Callithrix jacchus: one gene and its partner. The protein of the gene in region 1 interacts with the protein of each later gene in a biochemical or structural test. Links are inferred from orthologs where the notes say so. Each region holds a gene or a part of one and is shown in the gene's direction. Other genes may lie near its edges. The genes, in order: MAGEF1 and NSMCE1.

Region 1 (3,671 bases):
GAGGAAGGGAGGCAGGAAGGGAAGGAGGGAAGGAAGGAGGGAGGGAGGAAAGTAGGGAGGGGGGAGGAAGGGAAGGAGGAAGGAAGGGAGGGAATGGGGAGGAAGGAAGGGAGGGGGTGAAGGAAGAGAAGGAGGGGGAAGGGAGGGAGGAAGGGAGACAGGAAGGGAAGCAGAGAGAAAGGGAGAGAGGAAGGGAGGGAAAGAGGGAGGGAGGGAGGAAAGGAGGAAAGGAGGGAGGGAGAAGAAGGGAAGGAGGGAGGGAGGAAGAGGGGAAGGAAAGAAGGAAGAAGGGAGGGAAGGGAGGGAGGGAGCAAGGAAGCTTGCCGTTGGGTGGGAGAAGGGGGCTGCGGAGCTGTGGCAAGGCGCAGGGCCCCACCGTCTGAATCGGATGGTGGCAGAGTTGGTGCAGTTCTTCCTGGTGAAAGACAAGAAGAGTCCCATCACACGCTCGCTTGGATGGGACTCGAAGGGAGGGAGGGAGGAAGGAAGAAGGAAGGAAGGAGTAAGAAGCAGAAGAAAGCTCAGAGTGTGTAAAAAAAGAAAAAGAAACACGTGGGTGTCGTCAAATTTGACTTGGGCAAAAAAAAAAAAAAAAACTCCCGTTTCTTCCAACCCATCCCTATTCCTGCCAGCTGTCCTTCGTCAGTGTATCTTATCATTTTCCTCTTATCCCCATGGAATCTGCTGTCCTTACTCCCTCATAACGATCCATTGAATAATATTTATGGAGTTCCTCTCTGTGTCCGGCACTGCTGTAGGCACTGAGGATACACCCGGTGAACAGGCCAGGTCCCAGTTCCCAGTTTGCACTATAATCATCATCCAAACTTGGATTCCCGATTTCAGCGGGCCGAACTCCAGCGCATCTTCCACGTTACCGCCAGAACAGGAAGACACAGTTCAGGCCTGGACGCTCACGTGTTTAAATCCTTCTGCAGGACCTTTTCCTTCCGTCCAGAATACACGTCCATCTCCCTAGCATCCTTTGCTTACTGGCTCCCAGCCCTCAGTGTGCACTATAGAGCCACGGAAAAGCCCTCAAAGTCCGAGATGCACACGCTTACACGTGGGCACTTGCAGAGAGCAGGTGGGCGGCATTCCATCCCTATTTCACCCCTTGTACCCTGAAACCACTCTGCAGGCCTCGGAGGGGAGAGGCCTGCTATATTCCCCCGCCCCCGACTTTCCGAGCCTAAAATCCAGCGCAGGGTGCACCCCCGTCCCCACCCTCTGGCACTTCCACTCAGAGCAGCCCGGGCACACTCCAACCCATAGAGGACCGGAAGGGGCGGGGCTTCGCGCGGCACTGGGGTCGCCATCCTGGCGGCGGCGGCCGGAAGTGGCCCCTCGCGCGGGCGCGGACTGAGGCTGCGCGCCGCAAGTCCCGGCTGCTGGCGGCGTTGCGGGCGCAGTTTCGACTCCCGTGTGGTGCCGCCCAGCAGCTGCCGAACTCCCTCTGCCATCGCTCCTGGTCCTCCCGCCGCCCCAGCCGCCGTCCAACCCCTCCCCCGGCGCCTGCGCGGCGGCTCGCACACCCCTCGGCCCTTGTACGCGCTCTGCACCTGCCTGCGCGGAAACATGTTGCAGACACCAGAGAGCAGGGGACTCCCGCTCCCGCAGGCCGAGGGGGAGAAGGATGGCGGCCATGACGGTGAGACCCCGGCCCCGACCGCCTCGCAGGAGCTCGCCACGGAGAAGCCTGGCACCGGGAGGGAGGAGGGGGCTACAGAGCCCGCCCTCACCCGGAAAGGCGCGAGGGCCTTGGCGGCCAAAGCCTTGGCACGGCGCAGGGCCTACCGCCGTCTGAACCGGACGGTGGCGGAGTTGGTGCAGTTCCTCCTGGTGAAAGACAAGAAGAAGAGTCCCATCACACGCTCGGAGATGGTGAAATACGTTATTGGAGACTTGAAGGCCCTGTTCCCGGACATCGTCGCGAGAGCCGCAGAGCATCTGCGGTATGTCTTTGGTTTTGAGCTGAAACTGTTTGACCGCAAGCACCACACTTACATCCTGATCAACAAACTAAAGCCTCTTGAGGAGGAGGAGGAGGAAGATCTGGGAGGAGATGGCCCCAGACTGGGCCTCTTAATGATGATCCTGGGCCTTATCTATATGAAAGGTAATAGTGCCAGGGAGGCCCAGGTCTGGGAGATGCTGCGTCGGTTGGGGGTGCATCCCTCAAAGAATCATTTCCTCTTTGGGTATCCGAAGAGGCTTATTATGGAAGATTTTGTCCAGCAGCGATACCTCAGTTACAGGCGGGTACCTCACACCAATCCACCGGAATATGAATTCTCTTGGGGTCCCCGAAGCAACCTGGAAATCAGCAAGATGAGAGTCCTGGGGTTCGTGGCCAAGCTGCATAAGAAGGAACCCCAGCACTGGCCAGTGCAGTACCGTGAGGCCCTGGCAGACGAGGCCGACAGGGCCAGAGCCAAGGCCAGAGCTGAAGCCAGTATGAGGGCCAGGGCCGCTGCTAGGCCCGGCATCCACTTCTGGTGAGGGTTGGTGAAAAGGTGACCAGTGGGGTCCCCGTGGGAATGAGCTACTGTCCTGAGTCATAAGTAGTATAGGTGGGGCAAGGGTCTTATTTCTGTAGAAATCGTATGACTTTAAGGATTTAGATTTTATATCTTAACGTTTTGTTACATTTAATACACTGTTAAAATGCTGTTTGTCGATGGGATTGGCCTACTGTTTCCTGTGGGATTTTGTTGTAGAGTTTTGCTGGTTTTGTAAAATGGATTGAACTTTGTGTTTATACTGTGACTTTGAACAGATGACGCAGTATTGGAAGGCTGTACTTCGATGGTTTGAAGGAACTCCGTAGCATGATCTGGTACCAGGGGAAAATAACTGGTGGCTAGCCTCCCAACACTTGTCTGTTGTATATAAAAGAAAAAGGACTGACATGTACCTCTGTTTGCTTAGCTATTTGAGTATCTAGAGAAACATTAAAATGCAAGGAATTAGCAGTATATACTGGTACACTTAATAAATATTTGTGGAGCATCTTGTTTTTTGCGATGCAATGTGTGGGCACTTGGGGATAGAATACTCAACAAAATAAAGGTCCTACTTTTTTTCAGAATTAGAGAGTAAGTAAATAAACAAGAAATTAACAGTGCAGTGAGTTGAAGGCTGCAAAGGGATACTTAACCAAGCTGAGGTGATTGAGTGAGGTTTGCTTGGGGTTACCTTTAGTCAGACTTGGGGAAAGGGGAAAAAGATGTGGCAGGGGGAAGGGGAGGAAGAAGATGGAGGTAGGGAAGCCAGGCGTTGGGCATAGTATTAAAATGATTTCAGACCCTGCGTGGTGGCTCATGCCTGTAATCCCAGCAGTTTGGGAGGCTGAGGCAGTCAGATTACCTGAGGTCAGGAGTTCAAGACCAGCCTGGCCAACATGGTAAAACCCTGTTTCTATTAAAAATAAAAAAATTTGCCAGGCATGGTGGTACATGCCTGTAATCCCAGCTACTTGGGAGGCCAAGGTATGAGAATCGTTTGAATCTAGGAGGTGGAGGTTGCAGCGAGCTGAGATTGCACCATTGCATTCCGGCCTGGGTGACAGAGTGAGACCCCGTCTCAAAAAATAAAAATGGTTTCAGATTACAGCTACCTCGGTAACAAGCACACTTGACACATAGCAGATCTGGAAAGTACTCTACCTT
Region 2 (4,260 bases), on another chromosome or scaffold:
CGCCACCACACCTGGCTGATTTTTGTATTTTTGGTAGAGACGGGGTTTCACCATGTTGGTCAGGCTGATTTCAAATTCCCAACCTCGTGATCTGCCTGCCTTGGCCTACCAAAGTGCTGGGATTATGGGCGTCAGCCACCGAGCCCGGACAGCTCAAGCTTTTAATCACCACACACTACTGCTTTCCCACTCAGCAGATGAAACTGAAGTCCAGAGAGGTTAAGAGGCTGTCCAAGATCACAGTGGTGGTAAGTGACCAAACCCGGATTTGAGCCTCCCTCTCAGAGACAGACACCTGTAGGTACTACTGTTCTATATTAGTTACCTGTCTCCCTTGCTAGGCTGCATCCCTAGCTCTCAGACTAGGGATGGAATACAAACGTTTGGAAAAATTAATGTCTTGAAGATTCAAAGCAGTCCATTCACTTCCATGAGTAATTTCACTTACTTTCTCACAACAATGCCTAGGTAAGATAATAACATTTAATCAGCACTCCCGTGTGACACTTTTTAATGGCCATGCTAAGCACCTGATACAGGTATTGTTATCTCTTGCAAATCTCACCAACAGTATTTTGCAAGGATTAATATCCCCATTTAATGGAAAAGGAAACAGGCTTAGCGGCTCAGTGACTTGCCCAAGCCCCTGCAACTAGTAAGTGGCAGCGCCAGGATTCCAGCTCAGGCTGTACGACCACACAGTCCATTTTTTTTTTTTCAATAGAAGTCTTGCTCTGTCGCCGAGGCTGGAGTGCTGTGGCCGGATCTGGCTCACTACAACCTCTGCCTCTCGGGTTCAAGCGATTCTACTGCCTCAGCCTCCTGAGTAGCTGGGATTACAGGCACACACCACTACGCCAGGTGAATTTTTAGTAGAGACAGGGTTTCACCATGGTGGCCAGGATGTTCTCGAACTACTGACCTCAAGCGATCATCCCGTTGGCCTCCCAAAGTGCTGGGATACAGGCATGAGCCACCGCACCCGGCCCAGAGTCCACAGTTTTGACGTTGAGGCCACACTGTCAGTTCCACGGATGGGGAAACTGAGGCCCGTGCAGGGCACTACATTGTGCCAGCGGAATCGTAGCCATTATGGGAAGCACGGGCTCTACAAAGGCTCTTCCTCTTTGGTCGGGGCAGTCACTGAGGTCAGGAAGCGGAGGACAAGTGGAAGCCCTTCCCATTATTAAGGATCAATAACCGCGCGGGAATCTGCGTAATTTGGGATCTAACCCCCGAGGCGGAAACAAAAGGGCGATAGCACGAGAGGAGAACCGGAAGTGCGTCACCCTACGGGCGGGAGAATCAGCTGCAGGTCACCAATGGGAAGGCCGCGTTTGCGTTCGCCCCGCCCCAAAGGAAGATGAGTCCGCCTTGCAGCAGTAGCCGCTAGCGCAGTTCGGGCTGCGCTTGGGCGCCCTGGTGGGTAATGCGGCACGCGAAGGGCTACAGGGGAAAGAGGGACTTCGAGGAAGGCGAGGGGAGGACGGAAGAAGGGATGGGCGAGACGGGCAGTGGGGTCTGGCCCCGGCGTCGGCCCGCGTGGGCTGTGAAACTCGGGGACGGGGTATTGGGGTTTGTCCCTTTCCTGATGGGGAAACTGAGGCCCAGAGAGGGGCTGCAGAGGGGCTGCAGAGGGCCGCGGACTGGGATCTCCTCCCGCAACACACAGCAGGCATCTAAAAATCGTACTATTAAGTGAAAAATATTTTTAATCGTAATTAAGTACGATTTAACAGGTAAAGATACTTTTCATCATAATAGGTGAAGAAGCAAAATATAAAATTTGATTCAAACTGTGATTACATCTATGGAAAACACGGCCTTTGCCGACCACCCTCTTTGTTCGTCCCGCCGCCCTCCATGTTCCCCTCTGTTTTGTGTACGGAGTTTACTTCGTACAAGTCCACAACCCTTTGTGTTAAAGCCCCGAGGCCAGATGAGTTTAGAATCAAGGATTTCTGGGAGTTTGGAAAGATGGTGCATACGTTCCATGTTCGGTTTCACCCTCAGCGGGGGCTGGAGCAGCGGTTTGTAATCAAATACACGACTCTTTCCACAATTAAAGATATGCATATATTTACACCGTTGGGATAAATAACCATAGATAGCCTCCCCTGAAGTCAGGTCAAGTTTTCCAACTTAAGAAACAAGTTTTGGTATTCAGACTTTGTCCCCCCCCCCCCCCCCCCCCCCGCATCTGATCATCCATTAGTATTTAGACCTTTTTAGATTTGAAGATTGCAGATGAGGGGGACCTGGATCGTAGTTGTTCTCTTCATTTACCCATCTCGCTCTCGCTGGATTGAGAGTGTCTTGAGAACAGGAACCGCACATTTGTATGGTCTATCTCTGCCACCAACTTGTGTGTCAATTTTTGCCTCAGTTTCCTCATCTGTAAGATGGTGTTAGTGATCCTTAGGGTTAAATGAGGTCGAACATGTGAAGCACTAGAACGGTTAGCACCTGCAAGAATCGTATGACTGAGATTTACTTATTCCACAAACATTTCTATTTTAAAATTATGAAACTTAAATAAGTAAATTTCTTTATTAAATAGATACATTTAAAAGTAATAGATGTATTTCTTAAAATGTGGGTGATAGGAATTTTAAAGATTTATATAATGCTTCAAAAGCCTTAGAATAAGAAAAGTTTTTTAAAATTAGTTTATCTGTATGTCTGAACTCTTGAAATTTACAGCTAAAACGCTAGGATTTGTTTGCAGGTTACAGAGAGATAATTCTGCTTTTAATGATCTAAAACAAAAACAAAACCTGCCAACCTAGGTTACACGGGAGATTAGAGCCAATTTTTCTCTCATTCTTTTCACCTTTTTTCTTTTGCTGTCCACATTGTACCATTATTTTATGAGTCCCAGTTTTCTGGGCTTAAAAAAAAATTCATTTCTAAATGTTGAATTTAGGGAGCTTTTGTTCTTGGATAAAAAGGCATAAACTTTTTTTTTTTAAATCTGTTGATCTGGGAAATACATTGAAATCATGCTGCTGAGCCTCTAGCTTCTTTGATGTTTTCTTTCAGTATTCTTTCATCATAAATTTTTAGCATTTAAAGATTTAATGATGTATATTTAAAGTCAATAAACTTTTCATTAATAAAAATATATATGTATATATTTTTTGATATGGAGTCCCGCTCTGTCACCCAGGCTGGAGTGCAGTGGCTCACTGCAACCTCTAGCTCCTGGATTTAAGTGATTCTCCTGCCTCAGCCTCCTGAGTAGCTGGGATTACAGGCATGCGCCGCCATGCCCGGCTAATTTTTGTGTAAAATAAATTGACTTAAGTAGGTAATACAGCTCTATGGCTAATCCCGCCACTTTCCCCACAGTCTCTCCTTATAGAGACAAGGGATATTACATGCATAAACAACTTATGCTTTTCTTTCGTCTCCTACTTTCCCACCTATTTTCCACTAAATTATAGCGTTATCCTATACTGTACTCATTCTCATTTACATTTATTTTGGCTGTTATTTAACGTATTCACATAATTTTCTTTTTGTAGCAAGTGGATCTTGCTATGTTGCCCAGGCTGGTCTTAAACTCCTGGCCTCAAGTGATCCTCCTGCCTTGACCTCCTAAAGTATTGAGATTACAGGTGTGAATCACGATGCCCAGCCCATCACATTTAAAAACATTGTATGTAACGTACCTGTACAATTGTGTGGAAGTATAAGTTTGAAGAACAAAAATAAAATGAACACTCATGTACCTGCCACCAAGTTAAGAAATAGACATTTTCATATCCCCAGACCCCCCACTGAATCCTTTCTTCCATCCTCAAAGATAACCACCGCCCTGAATATTGTTTTGCTTTGTGGCTTTTACGATGTATGTATTCATCTCTAATGAATATAATGTATGCTTTTGCTGGATTTTTGTTTTTATATAATAGGATGCTAAAATATATTTTGGGTGAGTGACTTGCTTGCTGCATATAACATCTTTCACAGAAGCATGTGTGTTGAGGAGGGGAGCTTTATCTTCACTGCTGATTTGAATTCTCTAGGGTGATGATATTGTTTTAATGTAGTTCTTCAGTTGGTAGGCATTTATATTGTTGCCAGACTCGTTATTACGTGGTGCTTCTATAAAAATATATTTCCTAGGGCAAATATGGAAGTTTCTGTAAGGCATATACCTAATAAATCGTAGATTTCTGGGGATATGCAAATTTGCTGGTAATATCAACTGTTCATCTGAAATGGTTACAAGAATTTATACCCAGCCGGGCGTGG

What was found.
Region 2: the proteins of MAGEF1 (region 1) and NSMCE1 form a complex in vitro, tested with the Homo sapiens proteins (2 studies listed by BioGRID). The link is inferred for Callithrix jacchus from reciprocal best matches to the Homo sapiens genes MAGEF1 and NSMCE1.

Annotation. Positions count from the first base shown.
Region 1 is NC_133516.1:13,653,046-13,656,716, reverse strand, and holds MAGEF1 (melanoma-associated antigen F1), read left to right. Parts: upstream 1-1,410; 5' UTR 1,411-1,578; coding exon 1,579-2,502; 3' UTR 2,503-3,010; downstream 3,011-3,671. UniProt on the Homo sapiens protein: Enhances ubiquitin ligase activity of RING-type zinc finger-containing E3 ubiquitin ligases. Proposed to act through recruitment and/or stabilization of the E2 ubiquitin-conjugating enzyme at the E3:substrate complex.
Region 2 is NC_133513.1:27,854,301-27,858,560, reverse strand, and holds the start of NSMCE1 (non-structural maintenance of chromosomes element 1 homolog), read left to right. Parts: upstream 1-1,355; 5' UTR 1,356-4,260. UniProt on the Homo sapiens protein: RING-type zinc finger-containing E3 ubiquitin ligase that assembles with melanoma antigen protein (MAGE) to catalyze the direct transfer of ubiquitin from E2 ubiquitin-conjugating enzyme to a specific substrate.